Alligator mississippiensis: one gene and its partners. The protein of the gene in region 1 interacts with the protein of each later gene in a pairwise test. Links are inferred from orthologs where the notes say so. Each region holds a gene or a part of one and is shown in the gene's direction. Other genes may lie near its edges. The genes, in order: LMNA, TOR1AIP1 and VAMP4.

Region 1 (10,465 bases):
TCGGCCGGTGCATCCAGCCACGGGCCAGCCGCAGCAGAGCATGTGTCCTCCCCTTTGTCTCCACGAGATCCCGCTCTCCCTCCCTCTCAGGTGCAGGAGGGCAGAGGAGTCCAGGCTGGATTCCCTGCTCGGTGGGGCAATTGTTGACCCCCTGGCAGCTATGGAAAGGCCCTTGCGGGGCTAAATTGGAGGCTGACCGGGAGCTGCGGCTTTCAATCTGCCTCCACATGGTGTGCGTGGAGGAGGGGAGGGATAAAGCACTCCAGCTTCCTCCATGGAAAGCTCCCTGAGATTTCTTTGTGAGTGCAAGCGTGCCCTGCACAAAGGGCTCTGTCGCCTGGGCTGCCAAGGGACGTGGCCTCTCGGGCAGCCGGATGGACAGTGATGGCCAGACTATGTCAGGGATGCTCTCATGGGGGCGGCGCTGGATGGGTACTGCCACGGCTAATTGCACCCGTCCGCATGCCCAATGGTGGCAACCCCAGCATAGCCCCTGCTGCTAATACAAGGGGTGCCAACCTGTGCCCCTTGGCCTGTGCAATTGGGAATTGTGCCCATTGCTCGTGCTGATCTCATGTGTCTCCATCCGGCTGAGGAGCCTTCCCCTTGAATCCTGATTGCCCCACGAAGTCCCTTGCCAGCTGCCTGGGCTCCCTGGCTGGCATTGTGCCCCCTTGAATTCTTGCCACCCCATCCCCCTCCCCTGTGCCGGCCCCTGCTAGGATGTTTTGCGTTTTAACTTTGCGAGCACGTGCAGCTCTGGGAAGCCGTCGGTAGGGGAGATGCCTGGACAAAGGGAGACGGAAAAGGTGGGACGTGAGGTAACTTGGAGCACCTGAGAACAGCCCAGGGGGCCCCAGAACAAGGTGGGGATCCCCTCCGTGCCCCCAGGCCCAGCACAGCTGCGTTACGCATGCTCTTTGTGCACTGAGCAAGAGAGTGGCTGCCCCTAGGAGACAGGCAGGGGGGTCCCCTGGTTGTCTGCAGGCTCCCGGGAGAAGATGCCTGCCTGACGCACCCCTCAAACTCCATGCAACCCGCCCGCGCAGCCCGCGGGCATGGCTACTTCCTGCAGCCTCTCTGGCGCGGACACGCCCCCTCTCCCCCGCGATCAAACCCCTTCGTCTGGCGTGATCGCCGCCATCCCGGGACCGAGAGACGGGGGCGCCCATCACCCCAGAGGCGTAAAGGCATGGTGGGGGGGAGGTCTCAAAATCGACATAAAGGGGCTGCAGCACGGACGAGGCTGAGGCCCCTTCCACGTGTCCGTGTGCATGAGCTCAGCTTGCAGGAGGGGATAAGTCAGCCGGGTTGTAACGCATCTAGAAACGCGGCGGCTCATTTGGGGGGAAAAACGGCCAGATTAACTAGAAGAAAGAGCTGGTGCGGGGGGGCACCAATGTATCCATGGATCTGTCTGTAATGCAGGGATCCCCTGGATCCTGACACACCCCCTTGCAGCTCCTGGGCCCCCCCAGTGCATCCCGAGCTTGCACTGGTTTCCTCCTCTGCTGCCTTTCAACCAGGCGTCTCGGCTACATCCTCTTCCAGCCATGCAGGGTCTGGGGAGAGCTTTCCAAACAACACAACACCCTCCCGCCTGGGCCGGAGGCTCTTAACGGTGCTCAGCACCCAGCACCCCCCGTGGTTCTTGCAGCACAGGGGGGTGCAGTGATTTTAACAGCCCAGCCCTTGTTCCCCAACCGTGCAAACAAAAGCAGCCCCCAAAAGACACCACTCAAGGCCTCGTTGTAGTAAACACTGGCCAGATCCACAGCTGGGGTAAATGACAGGGACAGCGGTGGAATAAAGCGCGTGTCCACCCGAGGAGGAGAATCCAGCCCAGCCCGTTGTCTTGGCTGAGCAGCACTGATGCATCTCAGCTGGGGGGGATCTGGTCCATGGATACATCTGGTGGGGTGGAGAAACAACCCCGGGGGTCCCCGGCCCTCTCCATTCCCACCAGCCACCCTGCGTGTCCAGAGCACACCCCTTGCCTTTGGAGCTGGGGTCAGGGCTTTCCCCAGGGAGAAGGGAACCGCACAGGCCTCTCCCTAGCTCTGGAAAAAGGTTCCCTTGGGCTCAGCCCCGTTTCTTAACTCCATTAAACAAAGGGGGCCTGATCCGGCACCGGCCGGCCCTGCAAAGTTGGTGCAACACGCGCCTCTGCTCGCATGCTTGCTTCACACAGGTGCAAAGCCCTGTGAGTGGTGCAGGGCATCTCTTTCCCCCAGCCCAGATGTGGGGCCTGCTGGGCCGGACCCCAGCTGGGGCCCGGGGTTCGCAGCGAGGGGTTCCCCACCCGAGGCAGCTGGCGAGAGGCCTGCGCTGAAGCCAAGCCATCTCCAGCCCTATTGTTCCGATAACCCGTTCCAGCTTAACGATGCACGACAATTAGCCATTTCTACCCCACTGCAGACTTGCTCCTTCCCTTCTTCTCCTCCGGGAGCATCCACCTGAAGCCAGAACCCCCCCGACCCACTCCTTTCTTTCCCCCACCCCCAGATGAACGCTGCAAAACTCCCTACCTCGGCCATTTCAATGCGCTACCCGAGGAGGCATCCAGAGAGCCGCAGACTGCCCTAGCCATGCTTCCAAGTTAGTCCCCCCCCACCCCTTTTACCAAGGCAAAACTTCTCTTGCCAGCCTTATTGTTTTTTAACCCTGCACTGACTTAGCTTTGGGGCCTGAACCCCATTCTTTTCCCCACACTTAGAAGACTGCAGGGGGGGGCTGGGCGGGTGGGTGACTTCAGTGTGGGTGTGGTGCGTATCTATACAGCTATATAGAGATGTATAGATAGATATATCTATATAGACATCTCTCATTGCCCCCCTATTTTAAATCCCACCCCCATTCTACCTCGCACCGAATGCAGCCTGTACCGGAGAACAAAAGCATCACTGTCACCGAGATTGTGGTCAGCGATGATGTTGGTGGGCAGGGGGGCGTGGGGAGAGGAGAAAAGCAATGGAAGTCAAGAGCAGGGCAAGAGCAAAGATGGTTCAATCCCAAACCCTGCCAGGGATCCCCCCCCTAAGTCACATGATCCCCAAAACAGTTCAACTTTCATTAATCTGTTATTTGAATCCTTCCTAGGCCTTCAGGCACTCACCTCCCCCATTACCGCCACTGCTCAACCACACCCCCTTCCACTTCCAGCCCTCAGCCCAACAAAGGGGATTTTTTTCCCCCCTTCTCCCTCCTGTTCCACCTTCTCTTTCCTCTCCCCAAGCCCACGGTGGGGAAGTTGGGGTCACTCCACCCCCATCCTGTCTTCAGGCCCATTGCAGAAATCAATAAAAGGGGCTCTGGATCCCCCGAGCTATAAGGGGCCAGGAGAGCGCACGCACATTCCTATGGACCCCGGACCCCCGCCACACACCCGCTCTGGGCCCTCTCCCCATCTTGCCCAAGGGTGGGTGACCCCCAGGCTACCCCACCTGGGGGGTGCTGGGGATGGATTGCCCCTGCCCCCCCTTCCCTTCCCCGACACAGGCACAAACACTTTGTTTCTGGGCAGGGAAGCAGTGGGAGATGGAGAAGGGGGGTGGGGATGAAGGCATCAAGAGAGGGGGTCCACTTCCCTCCCCTGCAGTGGCCATTATTCATCCCAGAGCCAGAGAGCGGGGCCACTTGGAGCGGACAGGAGGCAACTTTCCCAGACACAATGCAAGAAAGAAGTCACCAGCCTGGGGAGGCTTGGAAGGGGTGGGAGGGGGGCCTGGTCCCTGAAGCCTGGAGGGTGCAAGGGGACTGGCCAGGCTACCCTAGCCTGAAGTTTGCCTGCTTCCAGGCACCCCCAGCCCCCCTTTCCATCACAACAAAAGAGAGGGATGGGATGAGAGGGTGGGAAGGGAGGGAAGGGGAGGGGGGCGGCAGCTGAGTTGTGGGGGGTGGGAGGGATAGGGGGGGTCTGCCTGCCTGAGTGGGTGTGGAAAGGGGGGAACTGACTGGGGCTGGGGGGCTGGGAGAGGAGGAGGGATGAGTGGGTGTGGGGGGCTGGTAAAGGGGGGCACTGAGTGGGTGTGGGGGGTTCAGTGGGTGCAGGGGCTGGAAAGGGGGGCACTGACCGGGTCTGAGGGGGAGTGGGTGTGCAGGCTGGGAAGGGGGATGAGTGGGTGTGGGGGGTTGAGTGGGGCTGGGAAAAGGGGGGCACTGAGTGGGTCTAGGGAGTATGAGTGGGTGTGAGGGCTGGGACGGGGGCTTGAGTGGTTGTGGGGGGGAGTGGGTGTGCGGGCTGGGGGGGTGAGTGGGTGTGCAGGCTGGGGGGATGAGTGGGTGTGGGGGGGAGTGGGTGTGCAGGCTGGGGGGGTGAGTGGGTGTGCAGGCTGGGGGGATGAGTGGGTGTGGGGGGGAGTGGGTGTGCGGGCTGAGGAGGGGATGAGCGGGTGCGGGGTGGTGAGTGGGTGCGCGGGCTGGGAGGAGGAGGAGGAGGAGGAGGACGAGGAGCTCGGGGCGACGCAGACAATAGCCGGGTCCCGTCCCGTCCCGTCCCGTGCGGTGCGGTGCGGTGCGGTGCAGCCCCGTCCCGTCCCGTGCGGCGCGGCGCGGCTCGGCGCGGCGCGGCGCGTCCCTCCCCCCTGGCTCACTCACCCTGGCGGCCCACGATCTCGGCCACGTGCTCGGAGCTGGGCACGGGCACGCACTCGGTGGTGTTGGAGCTGCTCTTGAGCCGCAGCTCGGCCTCCTTGTAGAGCGCGCACAACTTGGCGTCGGCCGGGCCGGGGGCGCTGGGGGCGGCGGCGGCGGCGCTGGGGGGGGCGGCCGGGGCTCCGCCGGCCCCTCCGCCGCCCTTGGGCGCGCCGAGGCCCGGCAGCGGCGGGGGCGGCGGCGGCGCCGGGGCGGGCGGCGGGGGGCCGGGGGTGGAGGCGGGCGTGGGCGCGGGCGCCGGCGGCTGCGGCTCGACGGGCGTGTGGCTGGCGCTGCTGTCGTCCCCCGCCGCCCCGGCGGGCGCGCCCGGCTCGCCGAGCCCGAGCAGGCAGAGCTGGTCCAGGGCGAGCTGCAGCGCGCGGTCGTCCTCCAGCAGCGTGCGCTCCTTGCTGCTCGCCGCGAAGCAGCCCAGCTCACTGAAGCCCCCGTTCCTTTCCATTATCCCCGATACTACCAGGCTAGGCATGGCTAACAAAGGCTGCGAGGGGGGCTGGTTGGGGAGGGGGGGGGGAGAGGAGGGGAGGGCTGGGGGGGAACAAAGAGCTCGGGAGGGAGGGAGAGGGAAAAAAAAAAGACAGAGGGAAAGAAAGAGACAGAGGGAGAGAGAGAAGCGGCGACCCTCCGCCCACCTCCCCTCCGCCTGGCCAAGCCCCTTTCTCCCTGCCTCTCCCTGTAACCTGAGCTCCGCGCCGAGGTGGATCCCGGCCGCCCCCCCGCCCCGCAGCGCACAAAAGAGCCGGCGGCGGGCGCGGGAGGCAGGGGCAGGGGCAGGGAGGCTGGGGAGAGCCGGAGGGGAGGCAGCGAGAAAGAGAGGGGGAAACTCTTTTGTTTTAAATTCCCTGGCTGCAGCATGAAGCTGACACTCCGGAGGGGACCGGAGGCTGCTGGGGGATGTAGTTTCCCGGCCCGGCGCACACACCCCCTTGGCTGGCGCTCGAGGAGCGGGGAGGGAGGGGAAGGAAGAGCAGGGGAGGAAGGAAAAAGAAGAAAGAAAGAAAGAAAGGGGGAGGAAGGAAGGAAGGGGAAAGGATGAATGAATGAAAAACAGAAAGAAGAAAAAGAAGACAGAAAGAAAGGAAGGAGAAAAGAGGGAAAGAAGAGGAAGGGCAAAGGATGAATGAAAGAAGACAGCAAGAAGGAAGGAAAGGGAGGAAGGAGAAAGAATGAATGAAAAAAGAAGAAGGAAGAACTAAGAAAGGAAGAAAAGAGGAAGGAAGAAAAAGAAGAGAAGAAAGAATGAATGAAAAAAGAAGGAAGAACTAAGAAAGGAAGAAAAGAGGAAGGAAGAAAAAGAAGAGAAGAAAGAATGAATGAAAAAAAAAAAGGAAGGAGGGGAAGAAGAGGCAGGAAGGAAGGAGACAGAAGGAAAGGAAGGAAGAAGAAAGCATGAATGAAGAAGGAGGTTGGATGGATGGATGTAGCCTGGATGGGTGGATAGAGAGAGGAGCTCTCTGCTGCAGATGTAGGGCAGACAGCAAGAGAGGGGGATGGTGGATGGACGGAGAAGGGCGACTTCAGGCGTGGGGTGCACAGACAGATGGAGGCCCGGTGGGATAAGGCACCAGATTGGGACCCTAGAGACCTAGTTACAGACACCGGCCGTCCCGGTGACCTTGGGCAAATCACTTAAGCTCCCGGCATCCCAGTCCCGACAAAATAGGCCCCTAATCCTTGCTGAGGGGGCTGCGCTGGTCAATCCAGTGCCTGGGAGGGATAAATGGGGGGAGGAGCGGGGAAGGGGCCTGCTGCTTGCCCTGTTTTGTGGGGGTGTAAATCCAGAGTGACTCCGTGGAGGGACAGAGTAGGAAGGGGAGGAGGAGGGAAGGGGGGAGGAGATGGAAACCCCCACTTGTTTGCACACCCCGCTCTGGGGTCCGCAGCAGCAGGAGGGGGCAGGGGGGCTGGGCTGCACGTACAGACAAGGCCCCAAAAGGATCAGGCCTGAGATCCCACATCCATCCCTGCCTCCTGGGCCTGCCCCCATGCAGGAGGCTGTGCAGAAGGGGGACTTGGCAGCTCTCCGGCCTGGGGGAAGGGAAGGGAGGGGAGGGGAGGGGAGGGGAGGTAGGGGGGACACCCTCCATGGCAATAACACCTCCCTCTCTCCTCCTTCCAGATCTAGAGATGCTGGGGAGAGAGGCCACTGCTGGGCCCCTCTCCCTTTTCTTATTGAAATGAAGGGCGATGGGGGGAAAGCATTGAAAATAGCTTTTCAGCTCCCAGCCTGCAAGGGTTTCTTCCCTCCCTCCCTCCCCCTTTCTTCCCTTTGAATCGAACCAGATGTCTCTCCCATGAAATGAGATTGCCTGGCTCTTGCTGGAGAGAGACAATGCGGGAAGATGGGAGATCCCCCATCCAGCGCACTCCACTGCAGCCCTGGCAGAGACTGTGTCTGCATCTCTGGCTGGGCGTGAGGGGGGTGTGGGGGCAGAAGGGAGGTTGGTGATAGAAGAAGGAATTTGCTGCCCCTCATCACTGTATTTTCCCCCCCTTTCTCTTTGCTCTCAGCGCTTTGCCAACAAGGTCTTTCTCTCTCTCTCTCTCTCTCTCTCTCTCTCTCTCCTGGGTTTGACAGCAGAAGAGCTCAGCTGGGGAATGAACTCAGCAGCTGCACAAGGAAATGTCTCATACGGTGACTCAACAAGGTAAGGTGTTGCCATCGCTTTCCCTGCAACTTTGCCTGGGCACTTCTGCAGCCTGGCTGGGGGGGCTGCGTTTGGAGCCTGCTCGGTAGTACCCAGTTGGGGCAGCCGCGGTGGCAGCAGACCGCAGGGCACATGCCGGGCTCAGACAGAAAAGGAAAGGAGTCCAGGGTAGGCTGGGATTCTCAGTGTTCAGCAAGCAATCCTTACACCCCCACAAAGTACCGCCAGCCCCCCTGAAGCCGCTGTTGGGGACTTAACCCAGTGGTTCAGACCATGGTTTTCCAACCGTGTTTTGAATTTGGGTTTAACCTTTACGTGCTTGCGTGATCGGTTGTCAAATGCCAGCAGTTTGGAGTGATTTCCTTCCTATAACCAACAGTGGATGTGTGTGCGGTGGCATACACAGAGCAATGTCTCTATAGGCGTAGACAATGCACTTTGTATTTACTAGATGCACATTTGTACTCTAGATGCACATAGGAGTACTCTAGTGACATAGGAGTACTCTAGGTATGTATATGTGAGTTGGTGTGTGCATGTTTAATAAGCATAGACATCTACGCACACGCCGTCTTTCTATGTATATATCTATATAGATATATCTATAGAGAGGTATGTATAAATAGATATAGCTATAGATGTAGATCTATATGTCTATATAGATATATATTACTTATACATACATATGCAGTCTATAATGAAAACTGCCATAGAAACTAAAATCCATATATACAAACACAGGTATATATCTAGACATGTACGTGCATACATACAACATAAACATGTATATGCAGTGCATATGTGTATATCTGAGTACATATATTTGTGTATGTAATTTGCACATATAAGATATGTGCTTATTTATATTTATGTGTGTATGATATATATGTAAATATATTTTACATATATATGTAAGTGTGTGTGTATATATACATATGTATGTGTGTGTGTATACATACACACAGATCTATATATACATGCACAAATATACATAGAGGTGTGTGTATATACACGTGTATATGTATGTAAATGTGTATGTGTGTTTGTATATACATGCACACAGACCTATATATACGCACATGTACAAAAATGTCTATGTACACACGTGTGTAAATATATCTATATGTGTATATGTGTGTTTGTGTATATGTGTACACAGATCTATATATACATGCACACACACATATGTATGTGTATGTGTATATATATGTATATATACACACAGTATGTGTATATATATGTATATATACACACAGTATGTGTATATATACATACTCACATTATATGTATGTATGTATATATACACACAATATATATGTATGTGTGTGTGTGTGTGTGTGTGTGTGTGTGTGTGTGTGTGTGTGTATATATATATATATATATATATATATATATATATATATGCTTATATTTGCATATGTATGTGTATGTGTGAGCACTTACCCCCCCACACACACACGGAGAGAGTATATACATATGTGTGCATATTTCTGTTAAAAGTACCTGTGAGCACACACACGTGGGTGTGTCTAATACACAAGTATATTTATATGTGTGTGCATACATACACATATACATTTATAGTTTTGGGAATTAGTAGCTGAATTTGTGTCTTTGGAAAATAACGTACTTCTAAGTTACAGGACTCAGGAATTGTTTTTCACCAGGTCAGAATTTGGTCACATGTGCAGGACAGAAAATTGTGCATTGTTTTCAGGGAGCACTTCAGCTTAGGAAGTCTGCCTTTCATCCAACCCCCATTTTACGTTCCACCTTGTGACTTCAAGAACAGACCCGTGTCCCTTGAAATAAGGAAAGTGGAAGAGGAAAAAAGAGAGAGAGCTGACAAAGTGTCAACTGCCAATACTCAGCCATCATAACCCTGGCCTCAGAATCACAAAATTGTCTTAAAAGTCATGTCATCCTACAAAGTAATGAGCCTGGGCTGCTTTCTCTTGGCCTTCTGGTTTCTGAAACTTCAGGATCAGGTCATGTTTTCTAGCTTTTCTCCATAAGGGCTCAAACTTCCTTTTATTTTATTTTTTCACATGAATGCTGAGGAGATTTCCCCATATTCACATGACTCCTAGAGCTGGGGTTTATAGGCAAACCTCAAGCCTTGCATTCCAGATCACAGGAGTCGGCAATGCTGTGCCAGTGACTCATTTTGCTGGGTGCGTTCGTTAGGTTTTGTTTGTGGGGTTGATCCGGCAACTACTTGCTGAACACTTACTCTAGCTAATGACCCCGTGGACAGACTCTATTTGCATTCGTAATAACTCTTTAGGCGAGTGTTTGTAGACATGGCCCCTATGCTTGAGCTCCAACCTGGGATCCGCGTACCAGCGTGGTCAGCGGGTCACATAGTGTGAAGGTTGAGACCGACTCACGGCTTAATGACTCATCTTCCCAAGTGCTGTAAAACCTAGGTGGTTATTTGTATAGTCCTGAGAGCCAGCATGCAGGAGGAGGTCTGGCTTGTGTTCCTAATTTGCAGTCATTGAAATAAGGATCTCCCATGAGACTGCCCTGCTAAAAAATATAATGTGACATCACCCCCTTGCAGTTCTTTTTTATGGGGATTAAGTAATAACTCAGACTCACCCCACCTGCTTGGATCAATTCCTCCTGCTGCCTGACACCCCTGGTGTCTGGGGTGGGCACAAGATCTCTAGAGTTATTCAGGTTTAAAGTTGGCAAAGAAAGTCATTTGTGGTGAGGCTGGGCCTCTGTTGAAACCGGAATATCTTCAGGCATCTGGGGCAGAAAGCAAAATTGTAGCTCAAGACAGGACAGCTGTGCACCATGAATTCTGGTTTTCACATGAGGATCTTTCTGAGCAGGTGTGTTATATGTATTGCATCCTTGCGTGGGTGCTATGGGAGCTTGAAGATCTAAGTGCAGATTCAGAGAGCCCAATTTAGAGGTACAGTCAATCAAATTGCTAATTCCAAACTAAGACGGCGGCAGACTCCAGGAAGCAGCAGGGATGGGGGCAAGATTGCAGCAGTAGGAGCGTTGCTGCATGAGTAGGTGTGTTGCCAGCAGATCAAGGGCAGTGATTCTTCCCTCTATTCTGCGCTGGTGAGGCCACATCTGGAGTCCTTTGTCCAGCTGTGGGCCCCCCACTACAGAAAGGATGTGGATGAATTGGAGAGAGTCCAGCA
Region 2 (9,957 bases), on another chromosome or scaffold:
ACTACAATGGCTTTTTAACAAGTCCCAAAGACCTTACTCGAGGGTAGGACAGCAAGAATAGAGGATAGCAATATGGAATTCCATTTCTTTAATAAATATAAAATCTTCTCTAATGCAGTGCACTGTGCAGCCAGATAGCTGTTGTGAGCACTGGAGGTTCGTCTTCACACAAGTTACGAGGTATTCAAAAATACATGGTAAAAGTCAGGAGAAACTTTCCCTGCTGGAGGTCGGGCCACATCTATGATGTGCTGTAGTACAAAGTCTTTATGTCTAGTTTCAGCAGTTTTTGCTCTCTGTACTTGGTGTAAAGAGACCCACAGTAGTTGGTATGGTGCCTCTATGTCCATGCCGTCTAACAGAACATAGTACCGTATTTGGAATTACACAAATAATGGTCCCTTACAGGGCAAGTGCCCAGACTTACAGCTCTCTCTCTCCCTGTGGCTCCCAGGAATTTCAGGTCTCTTCTAGATCCCAGTGCCCGATTCCTGCGTTGTGCTTTTCAGAAGAAACAGGAAGTCAGAAATAAAAAGCAACTCTACTGTGTACAAAGTTCAAAACTTACTTGTCTAAATGCAGCAATCTGGGGGGATTTCTCAGCAGAGGGTTGTTACACACACCCCTGCACTTCACTGCACTGCCAGCTTCCCGGAGACACTTTAGTTTTGACGTTAGAAATGTAAAATAGTCCTCTCAAATGCACACACCCGTCACTTCTGAATCCTTCCACTGTCAACGTGACAATGAACTTTGTACTGGCTCAGGTTGCCCGAGTGGAATGCTGGGATGTGTAGTCCCTTTCACCCTCTCTGAATGCAGCTGCATTTCTCTTCATGAATAGATCAGCCAGTGGCATTGTTTCCCATGGTAAACATGTATTTTTAGGAAACAATAGCACAGCAGATTGGAACTATTTATAGCACTCTAGAATTTTATAAAGCATCCTTCAATCAACGTGTGTACTAAACAAGTCCATAAGTTAAAAAACAGAACTACAGCAGAGGGAAAGCTTAAGAGATGTAAAAGAAGGGAGGAAAAAAAAGATGATTTATGACCATAAAAAGACTACAAATGCAAAATCTGTCACACCTCAGAGTATGGACTATGCATGCCATGGAGTCTGTCCCTCTGGGCTGTGAACCTGCTGAATCACTGCAACATTATGGTAGCACCCCTTGCCTTCTGACCTGCCTCAGTGAGCTGTGAGCAGTGTTGCTGTTAAAGTCTTAAGAGACTGCCAAAAGGCAGATTGCTAGGCCACCATCCACTGAAGACCTGGTCATGTTCCTGAGCACTTGGTTGGAAGGAGGTTTCAGGTGAGATGGTGGGGACCTTACCTCACTGTGGCCCACCCCTGTAATGGCATATCATGCCTTGGGAACTGTATCTGCTGCTGCTGGTCATGGCTCAAAAATCAGTGGGAGCTGGAGGTTTTGGCACTCCAAGCCCCAACCTCCAACCAGATCACGGTCGGTGCCTTCATGGTGAGGATCAGCCTAAAGGGGTTCCTGGAACAGGCCATGGGGTGAAGTACATCAACAATTTGAAGGGGAAACTAAACCATAGCAAAGTCTTCAAGGTTACCTTCAAATGGGATACCAGCAACCACTTTCTGCCTCAGGGAAACTTGGTTCACTTTACAGACAGGTGCTTCACCTATTCAGCTTACTTCAACTATTTCCATAACAGCACCTTCCATGGCAACTGGGACGAGGTGCTGGAGCTGCCACTTTGAGAACAAGCCTCTGCTCCATGTCCCATGTGGCTGCAAATCGCACGCAAGAATATGGCAACTTTGCAACAATACCATACAGGACTGGCTGGTCCCAGTCATCTTGGTATCAGTAGGGACAAAAACCACATGGTCCCAGCCTGCAGCAGCCCACCGAGACTGGACATTGTCTTGTCATCACTAACGAAGATAGTAAGAAAATCCTGATTGTCGATGTGACCAGCCCCTTTAAAAACCAGTGGCAGGCTTTTGCTAAAACCTGGGAGTGAAAGCTGATGAAGTACAGCCTGAGACACTGGGAAGAAAGGGATACAATGTGATGGTGCAGGAGTTGAGCATCAATGTGTTTGGTGCATGGGATCCAAGCAATGATAGCATCCTGAGTGCCTGCAGAATACCTAGCACTACTTCAAGATGATGAGGCACTTTGTGGTCACCACCATCAGATGGTCAACGGCTGGCTATCATTGGTAGAAAGAGAACCAACAGAGGACATCAGCCAGAAGCAAAAGTGGGGAGCAAGACTACAAGAGACACCACCACTATACTGTATAGACTCTAATGAAAACCAAACACATTTCTGTTTGTACTTCACCCTGGGCAAATGTAGACTGCATGTTAAATGCAATGCATCAGACTGTTCTGTCATCCTCCAGCAGTGTGTACCATTGTGCAGGGTCCCATATTTCTCATAGGTATACTGTACCACATAAAAGTTTCAGTTAACATTCTCTCTGCCATTGGGGGACTGGAAAGGGAAAAGAAGCGTTTCTCTCATTGAACTGGTGCAGATTGAAAGAGGTGGGAAATCACTGATCTCTCTGCACAGTGGGATCCTGATCTTAGCTAGAGTGTTTTGTTGCTACCATAATACAAATAATCATCTGCTGTTATTTGTTATGTTGGAAGCATGTTAGAAAGATATTTTTCTCAACTCAGTGTCCATTTAGAAAATACAGGTTCTAGCCCTTTTCCTGTTGGCCTTTTTGATCACTTCATTAAATCAGCTTTGCTTATTAAAAAAAAAAGTTTAGGAACTGGTTTGAAAATTAGCTTCTATAAATGAAAATAGCAATATTCAACATACTACCTGTCCCTATAATAGTGATGTTGACAGAATTAGCCATAAGAACAAGCTACTCACAAGACACAGGAACTAAAAGGCTGGCCTAAAATTCCCAACCTCCTCTTAGCAAAAGGATCAGAGATGTGATCTGATACTGTCTAGAAAACTGGAAGTATACTGCACAGGGTGAGCCATATTTAAGGAAATGTTTAAGTTCTTATAAGTTTCTTCTTCAAAGTTACTGAAACATGTCATCTAGTTCCTACTGTGTGAACATTCCCTTAATCCATGTTCACTAACAGAATATAAATGCTGCAGGATGCATGATGATGATAAAGCCAGAAGGAATCATTATGATGAGTGAGACTAACCCCTGCGCATAATGCAAGCCAAGGGATTTTATACTAGCAAGTCCTTCACTGCAGGGACTTATTCCTCTCTGCGCTCACTCCTGGCCTGGCTGGAAGGTGCACACTAGGGCTGTGTGAAATTTTGCTGCCCGTTTTGTTTCAACGCTGTTTCAAGCCATTTCGACCTCGAAACAGCAAAGTCAAAACAGAACAGGCAGGGCTGAAACAGGGTCGAAACAAAACAGGGCAGGTCAAAACGTTTGGAAAAATTCAAAACGTTTCGAGTTTGGACCAGGAAGCTGGGCTATGGGCTTACCTTCAATGGCTTGGCTTGCTTCCCTGCGGGGAAAGAGAAAGTAAAGTAAGGGGATGGAGGGGGAGAGGTGAGTGGGAAGGAGTGCTGTCATTATTGACATGTGTAACTGGCCAGTGCCTGTCACCCTTCTCTGAGGTCCTTTCCAACCCCATTGCTCTGGGGGAGGGACAGAAAAACTGCATAAAAGGCAGCATTTTTTGGACCTGCTCCTGCTTTCTGCCTTGGGTGACTTATTGAGCTGTCTATTCTAGCAGCTCACTGTCAGACCACTAGGGCTAGCAGCACTGATTTTCTAAAGGGTTCCCTGCTTGTTACTGTAGCGAGAGGGATTTCAGAATACCTTTTTCTTGTAGGTGCTTTTATTATTGTATTCATTGATTTATTCTTTTGAATTTTATACTTATATTGGATAGGGTTACTATAGAACCTATTCTATATAGGAATTTACTATATATATTTGTTTTTATACGGACATTCTTTGCACCATACCAACGCTATTGAATTTATATCCACAGACATATATATTTCTACCATGTTCATAAATCTCTTGCCTGCACCAGTAGTACAGATTTGAGTTTATATAGGAACACAAATACATTTATATATTTCTTGAAAAGGAAGTCCTGAAACACCTCATGAAGAGTGGTAGAAAGGCAAGTGGCAACACTGGCCAGCCTTCAGGGAGGGGTGGAAGAGGGAGAGCTGTAAGTCCCCCCTACCCCTCACCAAACTGAGACGCAGCCTCTTTCCTCCAGCTGAAAGGGATGAGGCCGCTAAAAGCAGCAAGGAGAGGGGAGTGGTGCCACTGCCACTGCCCCGCCCAAGACTGCATCCCCTCCACGCTCAGCAGCCATAACCGCACCCCACCATGACCACAACCAGCAGCACCAGCACCATCGCAGCAGTCTACTCCACCCCTATGTCACTTCCCATGCTGAGCCTTCCAGTGCCAGAAGAAGAGCTGGCGCTGGATCTGGATCTCAGTGCCCTAGCAAGGGAAATTCTGGGGAAGGAGGGGGAATCAGCTGAGTTTGTGCTTGGAATTCTGGCACACTGCAACCTGCTGGACATCTGACACCCTAGGTACCTCTGCACTTTTACATCCCCCTTTCCACCTCACCCTTTCCCTCACCCTCACGCCTCCATTTCCATTTTCACTGACTGCCTTTCTTGCCTGCATTGCGTGCCAGGCCAGCCTCTGGCTTCTTTACTATTCCTTCCATCCAGGACCAAGAGACACACCAACCGCAGGTACTTCCTCAGCCTGACAAAGGGTTTTTCAACCTGAAAGCTTCCTAAGAGATATTTCTCTATTCCTTTTTTTTTCATAAAGAACATACAAACATAAAAACACAGGATAAGCCATCACACACACCACGAGTAACATATATCCAACACAACATCTTTACTTCTTGCTGTCAATTCCTTTACAAGAAAGGCTCTGTGACAGTTGTTTGGCTACTTTAGATGCTGCTGGTGCTATTGCTGTTGAGCCAGCTACGTTTTCACCTGCCATCATTTACTGTGGTAGACTGGACTGAGGCTGTAGGGGAGGAGGACTCACTGGGGCACACTGCTGTGTCGTGCAGAGGCCCCAGTGCCAGGAAGGGCGCACCTGAACACACAGAGTCACCCACCCATGTCATGAGTTTTGCCTGTCACCAGCCAGAGGTGTAGGGCCCCAGAACCCAGAGTGCCGCTGCACCTCTCATTGAGACCTGGTAGGCTTCATTACTTCAGCAGGGGCTAGCAAGCCTGCAGTTTTGACCCCGCTGTGGCTTCACACATACAAGTGATAGGACTTTTGCTCTCAAGACTTTGGGGTGCAGTTTCTTTGAACCCCCCTACATCTATCTCCTTGAAGCTTGGCAGGCTTCATGCCCTCGTAAGGGGCTATCATTCCTGCAAGTTTCATCTAAATCAGGCCAGAAATGACAAAGTTATAGCCTGTTTTGACCTTCCCCATTATATCCTACGGGGGAAATGTCAAAACAGGTTCGAAATGTAGAAATGTTTCCACAGAACGATACGGAACAGCCGTTTCGACTCGAAACAAAACGCTGTTCCGTCGAACCGTTGGTCGAAACAGAATGCTTCCGTTTCGCGCAGACCTAACGCACGCTGCTCCTTTATCTTCGATCTGCTACCAAAGGTCACAAGAGCAATATTGTGCTACTTGTCTTCAGCAGAGCAGGGTGAGGGAAGAGTTAGGGCCAGATCCAAGTACTGTCTGTAAAACATCTCTGAATGGTAGGAGGAGGCTGTAAAGGAAATCCTTTTCCGACCTTCTTGAGCCCATGAAAAACTGTTACCGTCAGAGAGCGCTTGCTTCTTTTTGTGACTTTGTCCAATTTAGGCTTAAAACTTAGGCACGTTGCTGTTTTTTTCAGGAACTTGAGCTGGCTGGAATAAGATCATGCTTAGCCTCTCGGAAACCACGGGGCAACATGGCGGGGGCACAGGCGGCACAAGCTCGTCCTGCCGCCTCAGAGGCGAAAGCCCGTCCGGCCCCCGCCGCCCAACTGGTCCGGTAGGACCTGCCTCATGCCAAGGGTCCGCTCTGGGCTGCTCCACGTCGCGCCCGGGAGGCTGTTTTCACTGCGCCCGCTGGAGGGCGGCCTCGCCCGGGCCGGGCTCTCCCAGCTCTGCTCCTCGCTGCTCCGAGCCGGGGGCGGCGCCGCAGCCGCTGCCCGTCACAAGCGGCGCCGGTAAGCAGCGGCTGCAGACGCGGCGTCGGCCCGGACTGCGCGCACCCCGGCGGCCGCAGGGAGGGGAGAGGGAGACGAACCCGGACCGGATCAGGCCCGAAGCCATGTCACTCGCCCACGCTACGCCGCGGGCCCCGCTGAGGCCGTGCTGCGCCGCCGAGCCGAGGGCCCCACAAGATGGCGGCCCCGAGCCAGGCGCGGCCGAGCCGGGGGATGCTAGCACTTCCGGCCCCAAGCACAGCGGAGCGGAAGTGCGCGTTCTGGCCCCGCCCTCGGCGGGACGAACAGGGCGGGACTACGGCTCCTTGGAAACGGAAACGGAGGCGGCGGCGATGGCGGCTGGTGTGGGCTACGAGTTGCGCTCGCGGCAGCGGCCCCCGGCGGGGGAGACGCCGGCGGGACGTTGGGCGGGAGACGGGGCCTCGGGCAGGGCGAGGCCGTCGAACACCGCGCCCCGGCGCGGGATGCCTGACGCGCCGGCAGGTGAGCTGGAGGGCCCTGGGGCGGGGGCTGGTCCGGCCCCTCGCTGCGGCTACGCTCAGCCCCGTGCCCAGGGCAGGTGGCTGTGGCTGCCCTTCCCGCTTGCGCAGGGAGGCCCCTTCCCTTCCCTTCCGGTGCGGCGGCACCAGCCCCTCCGCTAGCAGGGAAATGCCCGAGGCGCCGCCCGCCCCGAGCCGCGGGAGCCATTGTGATGGCAGCACCTGCCCCGCTGCCGCCCCCACGGCTGCGGCTCTGCCCCCAGGAGGCGGCTCTTCGCGGAGGGCGGGTCGGCAGCTCGTGGCCCGCCGGCGGGGTGGTAGGGAAGGCTGCGAGAGAGGCCCCCCGCCTGGTGCCCGATGCCACAAGGAGCTTCCTGTGGGGTCGCTGCTAAAAATCTCTAGGGAGGTTTCATGGACTGGAGTCTCCTGAACTAGGGTAGCTTCCCCCCCCCCCCCCGGGGGTGTTCCCAACTGTGTTAGGTGCTAGTCCACCCAGCAAGGTGGTAGAGCGGGTACTGCATCACTAGAGGTGCAAATTGGGGCTTGGCTGAGCTGCAAATGGTTTCCCAGCCATTGTGGGTGGGTGGTCGGCAGTGGGCAGGTATGAAGGGAATCATCCACTTGCTCTCTTTTCTTGTCAGCCACCGAGCTGGTGTGCCACAACTGATCTGTCCCCCGCCCCTTCCCTCCCTACTCCCCCTTCTACCACAACAGACTTACCAGCTGCACACAGCTCTTCTCCTTGCCTACATTTATCTGCCACAGTATCAGGCACATCAGGCCGGTTTCTGATACAGTCGATTTTCTTTATATCGGTGCTGATCCGATATTGGACTGACGTATCATGCACCTCTAGCCAAGAGCGTTCTGCTACTTACTACCTTCTGCAAAGAAATTGCCTTCCTCCAAGCTTCTATGTAGCAAGACCTCTGGTTTCACAGTTCCCTGAAGTTTAGTTATTCCGTGATGGTTAGGATAGTTTCATCTGTGCTTAGTAGAGTGGAGTTACCCTGGGGTTTGTCTTTTTATTATTATTATTCTTGCCCTCTTTTACAAGACTGGGGGTTTTGCAAGGGGTTTGGGTGTGAGGAAATTAATTTCTTAATCCACTAATGATGTAAAGGGAAATTGACAATCCACAGATTATGATCACTGATGCTTTAGGGTTGAGTTGGGGGGCAAATTTGGTGTATGATTAAACATGGCGCATTCACAGAAATCACTCTCACATGGTGAACGAAAGGATAGGATTTGGAGTTTTTCTTGGATCGTATTGCTCATTCAGGATTGAATCCTACCTGTTTGCTTTTTTTTACTTTAGGCAAAGGCTTATTTTGACTTCTACATCCAAAATACAGACCTCTAGCACTTGAATTAATGGGCATCCTCTTCGTGGAATATCCATTACAGAGGGATGAGGGATGCTTTGCCAATGGCATTCAAACTTACTTCCCAGAAAGCTGGGAAACTTTGGGTCCTGGGGATCCTGGGATCATTTTCAGGGTCTAGATTCGATTGTGTCATAGTAGTTATAGATGCCTGTGCTCCTGTCCACCATACTTGTTTGCCTTTTTTTATACACAGCCTATTCTATTCCCACTCCCCTTCCTCTTGGCTTCTGCTGGTACCTTGCTCCTTTGCCCTAGATATACCATTCACTTTGTCCTCCCCGTCCCACAAATCTCAAGCATATGAACAAACTGCTTGAGGGTCTGGTGTGCCTGCAGTGGGGGAGGGAGTAGTTTAATAGTATTCTTGAAGGAATGGAATGGAATGGAATGGAATGGAATGGAATGGAATGGAATGGAATGGAATGGAATGGAATGGAGGGCTGAAGTGGTTGGGAGAAAGAAATGATGGCATGGTGCTTGAGCTTGTTATGCATTTAACACATTCTTTGTTTTAGGGAGTGAATATCCCTTTGTCAAATTGACTCGACCCAGCATAAGAAGTTTTCAAAGGGAAGGTAAGTAGTGATTTCTACACCCAGTGGAGGAGCTTTTCACTCCTTGCAGTCTAATACTATTGAAACAGATTTCTAGGGAGTATAGATCAGTGGTGAAAGCAGGGAGTAGGAACTGGGGGATGGCCTTGGTTCCCTTTCCAGTTTTACCATTGATTTGTTGTATAATGTTGGGCACTTAATCTTGCACCTCATATGTTTACCTTTCAAAAGGGGAACAGTGCTCTGGTATCTTGTAAGAATTTTTGAAGATTGATTGATTCTCCCAGCAAGGATGCTGTTGGGGGTGTCATCATGCAGTGTTAGCACTGTTAAGTGTGCAAAGAATGTTTTCAAGATAAACTCATAGATTTCAATAGGAATACATGGATTTACAAACCTTCTGACCTGTTGCAAGCTGAGTTGTTTTTTTTTGTGTGAAAACTAAGAGATGGCATTTTCAGAGGGGTGTCATGAGTCTTAAAAGGGGTGTCTTAAGTTTGATGAGGGGTGCTACTAGTATGTAGCACTCTGAAATTAACAAATAAAGGGGTCTGTAGAAGTGTATGTGTTCTATCAAGTGCATGAGATTGTAGCAGTACTTGGCTGAAGGTATGAAAGAAGGGTTGTGAGTGAATCTGCTTGTGTTTCTTGGTTTTGGAGAAAAGGTACGGTGACTAAATATGATGACAATATCTATCTAAACAAACTAGGAAAAATGAAGTAAGAAACCCACTTACCTGGCATGAACTGAATCACATGTGGAGCTTGTGAAAAGACCACTTCCACTCTATTCGTTGTATACAGTTACTTTTTGTGTGATAGGACTGCCTTCTCTGCATCTAGAAGCATAGACTTGTACTAGCTGCATGATACTGAATGTGATGTGTTTGTGTTTTTACTTCATTTGCCACATCCCTTGTTTCTTTCTAAAAAGACATATTGCAAAACTACCCTTTGGAGAGTTAGACAGGAAGCTATGTCTGTAATGTATAAGTGGTTGTGGAGTCATAGCTTTTGTCCTGAGAAATGTATTGGTCGCTGCAGTAGAGAGAACTACACATGTGAATGTAACCACTTAATTTCCTTCCTTTTTTTTACGGCTGTGTTAATCATGTTAGTGTTCCTTGCCTTACAGAATATGCTCTCTTCAGTGAAAACAGAGATTCCAAAACGTGTGAATCAGGTTGGTTTAAGTTTAACGCATTCTAGTTTGCTTACTACTGAATCTCGTTTGTTACTGCGGTAGTGTCAGGCCTTGAGAACAAAATGTTGTTGCTGGCTGGACTTTGGCTGTTGTGTGAAGAATGCCAAGAGGTTGGCTGTTCCAAGTGGATACTGTTGATGATGTTAGTGGAATT
Region 3 (10,089 bases), on another chromosome or scaffold:
GTGAGAACCTGTAATCTCTGATTGAGTTCCATCAGAAATTCAACAATCACCATCCCGCCATCCTACTTTCTTTAGAATACTCCAGCACCAACATCTCCTTTTTAGACACAATGATCAGTATCCAGAAGGGTAAAATACAGACCACAATATACAAGAAACCCACAGACCAACATACATATCTGCACAGAACCAGCAATCACCCGAAACACACCAAAAAAGCTGTGATATACAGCCAAGCCCTCAGATACCACCGCATCTGTACTGAAGAGAACACCCGGGATTGCCACCTCACCAATCTTAAAAAGGCTTTCACCCAACAAGGACACTCATCCAGAGAGGTAGATCGCACGTTTGAAAGAGCCACCCGGATACCACGTGAAGAACTGCTGCAGTACAGAAGAAACCCCCCCACAAATCGCACACCGCTGGTTATGACCTATCACCCCTCCCTTGAACCTGTACGGAAAATCCTCAAAAAATTGCAACCCATATTAGAAAGAGACCCTATTCTTAAAAAGATCTTCCCAGAGCCACCCATCCTAGCCTTCAGACAAGCACCGAACCTTGCCAACCTCATCACCAGAAGCAAACTTCCTCAAGCCCAGAACACACCAGAAGGATCCAGACCGTGCCATGACAAGAAATGCAAAACCTGCCAACACATCTCCACCACCCCCACTGTTACTACACCCCACAACAGAGCCATCAGCATCCCAGGATCTTACAGCTGCACCTCCAGAAATGTAATATAGCTCATCCAATGCACCAAATGCCCTGATGGAAAATATGTAGGAGAGACCAAACAACAAGTGCGCACCAGAATGAACGCACACTGGAAATCCATCAAAGACAGAAATACCCAATTACCGGTGGGGGCACATATCTCACAGGAGGGCCACTCTCTCTCCAATCTCTCAGTCCTGATCCTCAAGGGAAATCTACACAACACTTCCCAGAGATGAGCCTATGAGCTCCATTTCATCAACCTCCTGGATACTAGAGATCATGGACTAAACATAGACATTGGATTTTTGATACATTATAATCTGCCTGGCAACTGACTCCCCAGCCCCTGGCTTCCTTACTTTTCATTCCATCCAGGAAGAGCACACACCAACTGCTGCAGCTTCCTGAGCCTGACGAAGGGTTTTTGAACCCGAAAGCTTGCTTAATAACTGTTCTCCAACTATTTGGGTTGGTCTAATAAAAGATAACAAATTCACTCAAGGAACCTTGTCTGCCTGTGTCCTTAGACCAACACGGCTACAACCTAAACCCCTGCTTCCATGTACAGACACTCATCCTGAAACCAAAGTGTCTTCTTCCTGTTTTACCTCATCCCACTTTCAGTATAGGAGTAATTGAAATTTTCTGGTCAATATTTTATAAAAAGTCATATTAGATGACATTATGCTTTCAGATCATTGAGTCTGTGAATATGAATGAGGACTTCAGTGATGATGACATCTTGGAGTAACTAGCATAAGGGGTCATTTGATCACACTCAATGCAAGAATCAGGTTTTTTTTTTCCTTCAAGCTGTGGAGTGTAAATTCACAGAGATCTGTTCGCTCCTGCATCACTTGGTGATATCTGACCCAGTAAGATCACGAGCAATTTGCAGAGTGAACTTCTGTCTGGAGTGTGCAGCCATACTTCTTGTTAATATCAGAGCAAGTTGTATCTGGACCCTGGGCAGAATCTGGCTCATAGTGCTGTTATTTACTCAGTTCCAAACTGAGGCTTTAAGAGCCCACATCTTATAATTGCATACAAGGAAATCTTGCTAAATACATTATCTATCATTAAACTGCTATCAAAAGCAGCATGTGCTCCGCAATGGAAACCAGTTACGAAGTTCGTTAAATGCAGCCATCATTGAACATGACTATAAAACAGATGGCCCACACTGGGTAAAAATAAATATATATATTCAATATCTATTGACCTATCTATCTTTATATTTATATTTTGGCAGGTATTGAATTTGCTCAGCCTTTTGGCTCTCTGTTGTCTGCCCCGGCACATCTTACAAATCAAGAGAAGCAGGGCTAGAAGTGATCTCCAAAGGTCATCTAGTCCAAGCCCCTGCCTGAGGCAGGAGCATCCCTATCCAAACCGTCTTATACAAATCCATAATCTAAACTCTTCATAAAACTGTCATCAACCCAGACACAAGACAAGACATAACACCCTAACCTGCCACAGGTAAAGCAGGGGAACGAGGGCAGCCAACATCCTGTTTGTGTAAAAAGGTTGTTAATATACCTCAAGAGATCCCAGGTAGAGGCACAACACCTACTATGGAGGAAGGCAACAGCTGGCAGTGCGATGCTGTAGCTAGTAGGGCAAATAATACTCTGGCATGCATCAATCGATGCATCTCCAGCAATGCCAAGGAGGTGATTCTTTTGCTCGACTCAGCACTGGTGAGACCGCAGCTGGAGTACCGTGTCCAGTTCTGGGCACCACACTTTAACAAGGACGTGGACAAGCTGGAGAGAGTCCAAAGAAGAGCCACCCGCATGATCAGAGTCTTACACAGCAAGCCATATGAGGAAAGGCAGAGGGATCTGGGACTCTTCAGCCTGAAGAAAAGAAGGCTGAGACGGGACCTGGTAGCAGCTTACTGCTACACTAGGGGAGTACATCAAGGGCTTGGTGAGCAACTGTTCACCAGGGCACCCAAGGGGAAAACCAGGAGTAATGGCCACAAACTCCTGGAAGATCAATTCAGGCTCAACATTAGAAAAACCTTTTCCCAGTCAGGGTGTTCAGACTGTGGAATAAGCTCCCTCCAGAGGTGGTGCAATCGCCTACCCTGGAAATCTTCAAGAGAAGACTGGACGGTCACCTTGCTGGAGTCACCTGACCCCCAGTTATCTTTCCTGCTTGGTGCAGGGGGCTGGACCCGATGATTTTCCAAGGTCCCTTCTGGCCTTCCAATTAATGAATCTATAAAGAGACCTGAGTGTACACACACACACACACACACACACACACACACAGACACACACACACACACACACACAAATATTATAAAAGTTTGCCTGTCTGTTTGTCCATAACGCTTTATTCGCGCTTTGATTGGCTGACAAACATCCAATCAGAGTGAGAACAAGCATTCCAACAGGAGCTGGCAGCCAGTGGAGTGCTGCCATGATGGTGGGGACAGAGGGGAAGGAGGGCAGGGGGCAAGGCCAGTGCATCCTGACCAGCATGGCCTCACCCTGCCTGCCCTGCTCCCTGGAGGCGGGGTCAACAGAGGGGATGGAATGCAGGGGAGGAGGAGGGACGAGGCCACTGGAGCTGGTCTCCCCCTCCCCTTTACTCGTTGCAGGTGATGGCAGTGGCGATGCGGCGGGTATCAGGGTTGGGATGCCACAGGGGGGCCAGGCCATGGCTCTGGCCTCGATCCATCCCTCCCCGCCTTCCACCATTGCTGCCTGCAGGGCCTGATGTGGGATGCCGTGGCGGTGGTGGGAGAAGTGAGCCCGACGTGGGTTGGGGGAATAGCGAGCACGCCATGGCAGAGATGTGGGGAGGGGAGGAGTGGGCCCTGGGCCCCATGCAGCGGGGGAACAGGACTGAGCTCAAGCCAGGGGAGACGCTGGCCCACCACAGCAGAGGGAGCAGCGGGCCCGTGGCCAACCCAGTGGTGGCAGGGGAATGAGAGGAGGGGGCTCGGAGCTGACGGGGGGAGGAGTAGGCCTGGGCCTGAGAGGTGAAAGCAGCTCACTCCTTCCCTCCCCCAGCTGCTGCCGCGTCAGAGTGGGACGCTGCTCCCCTCACTGCTGCGGTGGGCCAGCGTCTCCCCTGGCTCAGGCTCGGGCCTCCTCCCCGCCACTGGCCCCTTGGTGCTGAGCGCTTCTCCTGTTCCCCTGCCCTCGCTGGGTCAGCCCAGGCCTGTTACTCCCCCTGCTGCAGCAGGCCAGCTTCTCCCCACCCTTGTGTCTGGCCCTCCCCTGCATCAGGTCTAGGCACACTCCTCCCCTCCCCCCACCGCTGCGGCAGGGAGCGGGTCCAGACCCCAAGCAGCAGAAGGTAAAGGGGGAGTGGGCCCAGACAGGGTTGGGGGGGCACGGGGCTCTGTCCCCGCATGCTCCCCTCCTCCCCCGTCATTCCTGATGGGCAATTGACTAGTATATTTATATACATTCTAATATTATACAAGCCTTTGTCTGTCTGTCTGTCCAGGAATGGGCCCGGACCCGAAGGGGAGGTAGGGTGGGAACGGGCCCGGACACAGGTGGGAACAGGCTGTTCCCTGCTTCCCTGCCTCGGGTGTCTCAGTGGGCATGACCTGGAGCGGGGAGCTCGTAGCCCCTCTGTGCAGCCCTGCTGTTCCCAGCCCGTGTCGCTCCTGCTGGGCTGGAGAGGCACCTGGGGCAGGGCGGCAGGGAATGGTGGCTGCTCATCTTGCGCTTCCCTGGGGATGCACAGCCTGTGCCTGCCGCTCTTTGAGGGAGGGGTGTGGCCAGGGCAGTGGGGTGCAGGGCCCTGGGACCAGGCAAGGAGAGGAGCCAAGCTGGGCCCACTGCGCCTGTGTGTCCGCCCCTTCCCCTTGGAAGTGTGTGAGGCAGTGGGGTGCCGGCCTCCCCCTCCCACTTCCCCGAGCCACTGGAGGCTCCGTCCTGCTCCCTGCTGGGGCCCTGCACTGCAGCCCCGGGCCCCAAGCACCCCCTGGCTCACCTGCAGCCCCAGCCCTGCCCAGCTCCCTCCCTACACGGGCCTCAACCTTCCTCTTCCCCCCCAAGCTGGAGCTGCCCTCGAGGCTGCTTGGGGCCACGTGGGTGCACTGTACATGCGCGTGGCGCCACCTGTCTCACTGCCTGCCTTCCGCTTCCTCCCAGCTCCCTGCAGGCTGGAACACAACATCCGAGTTTTGTCGCATAAAGCAAATTTCTGGTATAAATAAGTGAATTCACATATAGAGAAATTTGTGAGAAAAGAATTCGCATAAAGACACGAGCATGTGTGTGTGTGTGTGTGTGTCTTAGTGGTGCTTCATTTAAATCATGGAAAAGTGTGGATTTGGGATTAATTTTTTAACTGAAATTTCAGGATTCTTTTAAATCTGAGAAAACCAGGATCCCTGGTGATGAGAGAGTAATGACAGCAAACCCAGAAGTCCGTGAAGACTCCCTGAGTGACTTGGGTTTTGCAGCTGCTGCAACAATGAGCCGCCTCAACAATTACCGTACATTTGGAGCACTTTACTTATTATTGGTCGCACTTGTACAAAAGCAGAAACGACCACACAGACGCCGTAATTATCATTCACCCGCCAACGCTACCGGGCAGCGACCTACCCCCACCCCGCCTGCTGACGTCGCTGCGATGAGCCGGCACGAGTGCCCTGCCCCAGGCCTACAGTAGCCGGGAGACGGAAGCGTGGAAGGGCCAGCCGCGCCCCTCCGCCTGTGGGGGAGGGGAAAGGGGGAGATCGATGACTCGGCGGTCGGCCCCGCCCCTCAGAGGGAGTGTCGAGTGCTCGATGGAGCAGCTGACTCGGCTGCGGCCGCAACACCAGCCATTTCCCAGCCGGGCCTCGCAGCGAGGTGAGCGGGACGCGGGTTGGGGTCGGGCGTGTTGCGTAGCTCAGCGCAGTGGGGGCCGGGGCGGCCTTGGCTTGGCCGGGCCCCGGGCGGAGCTGCGCGGCCTCCGGCTCCGGTGCGCTCGGCTCGGGGTCACGTGAGTCGCCGGGGGGAGCAGGTGGGGCACCACGTGACCCCGAGGACCTCCCCTGCGGCTCCCCTCCCTCCCAGCACTTGGTCCTGGCCATCCCCAGGCCTGGGGGCCGGGGCCGACCTTCGTCTCTGTCCTTTTGAGCGGGGCGCGGGGTCGGGGGTTGGTTCCCCAGGGGCCAGAGTCGGCAGTACCGGGCGAGGCAGGGCTGCAGCTGTCCCCCAGCAGGGTGGGAAAGACCTTCAGCCCCATCAGTGTGGGCCAGGCCATGGACATCAACCAGCCCTTCCTCCCGCAACCCCCTCTTCACACCTTAGCGACACTTCCTGCTCCTCCTCCCTCTTTTCCTCCAATTTTAGTTTCCCTTTGCTATACCCTTCGCTTCTATTCCCCCAACCCCAGTATTGTCACACAGCAACTCAGCCGTGGGGCTGCACCAGAGATGCCCAAAGACACTGTTAGTACCTCGATGCATTTGCAGTCTGGAGCCCCTCTTTGCACTGCCTTCGGGTGGTGGTGGTTAGCTGTGGAGCGCTGAGTGATCCTGCCAAGCATGTGACTCCTCACAGAATGGCCAGAGTTTAGAGCAGTGCTTGAGCGTTCCCAGGATTAGGGTTTAAGAAACACGATCAAATTGCCTTTCCCTTTAAGAGGGGCTTGTGGGGCTGTGATGGTGCGACATAACAATGGATGAGGTACCGCCTTTTGTTTCGTGGGGATTCTGGTGGTGCTCTCTGGTTGCCTTCCCGCTGTTTTCCCGGGTGCTGGAGAAGGGGTGATAATGATTGCCAATTGCATGTAAAATTAGATATCAAAGACGCACATTTTTCCTCTCTCCTAGGCAGCATATTTCTCCCCACACCTTCTGTACTGGACCATCAAGGGCATCTTTTTGAGTGGAAAACATGCCTCCAAAATTCAAGCGCCACCTCAATGATGATGACGTCACTGGTTCAGTGAAAAGTGAAAGGGTAAGTGCCTGGTGGCCTGTGGTAGCCTTGGCTACATTTGTTAGTGCTTTATTCCTTGCCCTCCTTGTATATTTAACAGCTCTGTGTTTACTGGAGGTGTAGGAATAGGCTTCACCATGTGGCTTTGTTACTGATGACTTGAATAACTTTGAATCAGTGGGGGTCATGTTTAAAGTGCACTACACATGAATGAAGTCCATTATTTCACCAGTATTTATTTCTTTATATGCTGTCTGTCTCAAAAAAAAAAAAAAAGACTCAGGGCAGCTTACAGTAAAGCCCAAAATAATTTTGTACAAGCAGACCAAATACTGAATAGTAGGTATGGATGTAACAAAGGTCTAAACCCAAAAAATTGAGAGAGGAGGGTGTGGCATGTGATAAGTAGTCCCAACAGTCGGCTTAAGAGAGATGTTCAGCTTGTTAACTGAAAGGCAGTTCTTCTAAAAGCCTGTGATGTCTCATAAAATTCTGGCTGGCTCTACTCTTTTGTAATTCCCAGAATGCATCATTTGATGACTTCACAGCTGCTGACAAACGGCTGTTACAAAGGTTTGGTCTGAGATGCATGTGTGTATTGATTCCCTTTTTGCAAATAATGTGTTCTAAACGGGCACTGAAAGAGGATTTTAAAACAAGAAACTGAAAATCTCTTGGAAGCATGGTGAGACTTTCTAATTTGGACGGGCATTTAATAAGTAAAGCTAGGCTGGGATATTGGTTAGGTTTCTGTTGATTCTCTGCTTTCCTTCTAAGGTGATTTGTTCTCTTGTTTGTTCTTCTATTTTATAACTTATTCTGTCCTCTTATTGTAAGCCACTCTGAGCCTTTGTTGGGACGGGCACCTGTAAATTGAATACAGTAAATCAGAGTTGTCCAGCTTCCAAGCAGCAGCAGCATAGGCACAGCTTCCAGTTCCTTGGCCCTGGCATAGCTCCTCACTGCTGAGCCCCAGCATTGGCACAAGCACAGACAAAGCCCAGTAGTTGTGCAAACCAGCTTTGGCCCACAGGCTGGATGTTGTCCTGAGTTAGAGCAAAAGGAAAGACACTAACAGCACTAGATCTTTCTCTGAGAATAATTTCCTATAAATGTTCTGCGTGTTGTTGCTCATTCCAAGTTCTAGCCCGGTGTATTTTCATATATGAAGGACTCGTAGTACTTGTTGCACCATGAGGGAGGTAAAATATTGGTCACAGGTGAAGAATGCACCTTGTGCAATTTGTTGAAACAAACATGTTTGTTTTCCTGTACATCTTGGTCCTCAGAGCTAGAACAGAAATCTGAGGGAAACAGATGAACAGCCTTGAAACAAATAAAGTGTACTATTGCCAAAAGAGCACTTGGCCAGTTTTTGTCTTCAGCCTCAAGATTATTTCATGTTTCCATGGAGTCCTGTTGTAGCTGTAGTGTGATACTGCAGCTATAGTCATAGCTGCATGGTTGTAGAATATAAAAATGAATGACATGACATTATTTTTAGATGTGGTGTATACTCCCTTTTAGCTTGGCAGGTATGGCTGGTCTATACAGTTTGATAAAGTGACTTGATTAATTATTTATTTATTTTGTCAGAAGGTCACCAATAAATACTACACGTTTTGGTGGAAAAAAGAGATGTTCTGGCCTTTATTTGTATGAAACAACTGTATGAATAGATTGGTTATATATGTAACAACCCTGCCTGAGCTTAGGTGGTTAAGATACACCAATTCTAGTAGACATTGGTTATAGTGTTGTGATTGGCATGATGTCTATACTTTTCCCTCCTTTGGCTGAATGACCAGGTACCCCTTTGACTTTGTCTCTCTGGAAGCCATAGTGGAATGCTTTAACCACCTTCTACCCTGTGCCTTTTAACTACATAGACCAGTGGTGTATAATTCTGGATGGGCCAGTGGTTGAGCACCCCCAGGTAGACTGTCACGTGTAGCACTTTTTTCTGAGGAAGCTGGAAAATAGCTTAATTATTGAGTATTGTATCTGATACTTGAATGTGCAGGGCACTGCTACATAGTTGTTCTGTGTAACACTAGACAGGTTCAGGGTAGTATACAGCATGATATTCTATTCTGTTTCTCTTGCATATTGCCCCATGTAACCTGTTTGTAATTTGCATGCACGTTTTTTTTTTTTATATTGGATATTTGCACTATAAATGAATGTCGCACTTACCGTGAGGTGGCAAAACAGAACTATTGGTAGATAGTACAGGCAAATTACTGTAATGTCTCACCTATAATGGCCTAATAGCACAAACTTAAGCTGAGAGGGATCTGATATATTTCTGTTAATTAAAATGTGTATGATTTTTACATGCTTTGTTCAATTGATCTGATCTTTAAAAACTGACATTAACAAATAAGTCTGTTTTAGGTACATCTGATTTGTGTATGAGATTTCTCTCAGCTTAAGAGTTTGTGCTATTAGGCCATTATAGGTGAGACACTAGGTCACTACTTACCATTCTGTGATAATGCAGCATACTGTGGTCTTCTATTTGAAACCCCTTGTAGGTGAAACTTGTACTGCCGAAAAGCTGTCTAAACCAGGGATGCTCAGCCTCTGGCATGCAGGCCAAATGTGGCCTGCAGAGCCTTGGAATCTGGCCTGCAGGCTCCCCATGGATTAGGAAATTTGGCAGCGGGGAAGCTGCCAAGTTAATACTGTTACCCATCTTCGCTGCCAAAATCCCAGGCAGTGGGTCAGAGCTGGGCCACAACCCTGTCCCTGCATGGGCAGATTAGGATCAGGCTATACCCCTTTCCCTCCATGTGTCTGGGTTGGGGCCCCCTTTTCCTCCTGCAGGGCTGGACCATGTCCCTGTAGGCTGGACCACACCATCTTCCCCCTCCTACCCTTGTGGGGCCAGACCATGTTCCTTTCCCTCCGTCCAGCTAGGCTGGGGCCTGGCCTTGCCTTCTTCATGCAGGGTTGGGCTACACCCCTTCCCCTGCACAGCTAGATTGAGCCAGGCTGGTCCTCCCACCTCCCTCTATGCAGCCATACGGGACCCGTAACACCTACCTGGGTGCTGGATTGGATCTACCAGGCAGAGCTGGCCCTTGGGGATTGGGTACTGCCCATCTGGCCTACTGGCCAAAGAGGTTCAACACCGCTGGTCTAAATACTTCATAAAAAGAGAGGGAGAGAGAGAGAGAGAGTGTGTGATGTCAATGGGGATTTGCTATCTGTAGGTAAAGTCTCTGTGTTGAACTTGTAAATGTGTGTGCTGAATTAGTTTAAATTACTATTTCAGGCTAAGTGGATTTAAACATAATCTATCAAGTCAAATTATGTTTAAACCAAATTTGGTAGCCAAACTGTCGTCTAAAACAATGCTTAGCTCAGCTCGTAAGCAGTGGCTTAGCTGCCAGTGAGATGATAGGCTCTCTGGTTGCAAGGAACAATGCTGTTGTACCTGCAAGGA

Evidence for each region.
Region 2: the proteins of LMNA (region 1) and TOR1AIP1 interact in a two-hybrid assay, tested with the Homo sapiens proteins (2 studies listed by BioGRID). The link is inferred for Alligator mississippiensis from reciprocal best matches to the Homo sapiens genes LMNA and TOR1AIP1.
Region 3: the proteins of LMNA (region 1) and VAMP4 interact in a two-hybrid assay, tested with the Homo sapiens proteins (2 studies listed by BioGRID and IntAct, with this or other methods). The link is inferred for Alligator mississippiensis from reciprocal best matches to the Homo sapiens genes LMNA and VAMP4.

What each region holds. Positions count from the first base shown.
Region 1 is NC_081838.1:17,274,163-17,284,627, forward strand, and holds the start of LMNA (lamin), read left to right. Parts: upstream 1-5,962; 5' UTR 5,963-6,055; intron 6,056-6,783; exon of another isoform or gene 6,784-7,228; 5' UTR 7,229-7,298; intron 7,299-10,465. Other genes in the region: RNA-binding protein MEX3A, read right to left, coding at 4,597-5,119.
Region 2 is NC_081828.1:51,635,870-51,645,826, forward strand, and holds the start of TOR1AIP1 (torsin-1A-interacting protein 1), read left to right. Parts: upstream 1-5,883; coding exon 5,884-6,658; intron 6,659-8,560; coding exon 8,561-8,620; intron 8,621-9,734; coding exon 9,735-9,782; intron 9,783-9,957. UniProt on the Homo sapiens protein: Required for nuclear membrane integrity. Induces TOR1A and TOR1B ATPase activity and is required for their location on the nuclear membrane. Binds to A- and B-type lamins. Possible role in membrane attachment and assembly of the nuclear lamina.
Region 3 is NC_081828.1:44,983,220-44,993,308, forward strand, and holds the start of VAMP4 (vesicle-associated membrane protein 4), read left to right. Parts: upstream 1-5,473; 5' UTR 5,474-5,561; intron 5,562-6,529; 5' UTR 6,530-6,593; coding exon 6,594-6,659; intron 6,660-10,089. UniProt on the Homo sapiens protein: Involved in the pathway that functions to remove an inhibitor (probably synaptotagmin-4) of calcium-triggered exocytosis during the maturation of secretory granules.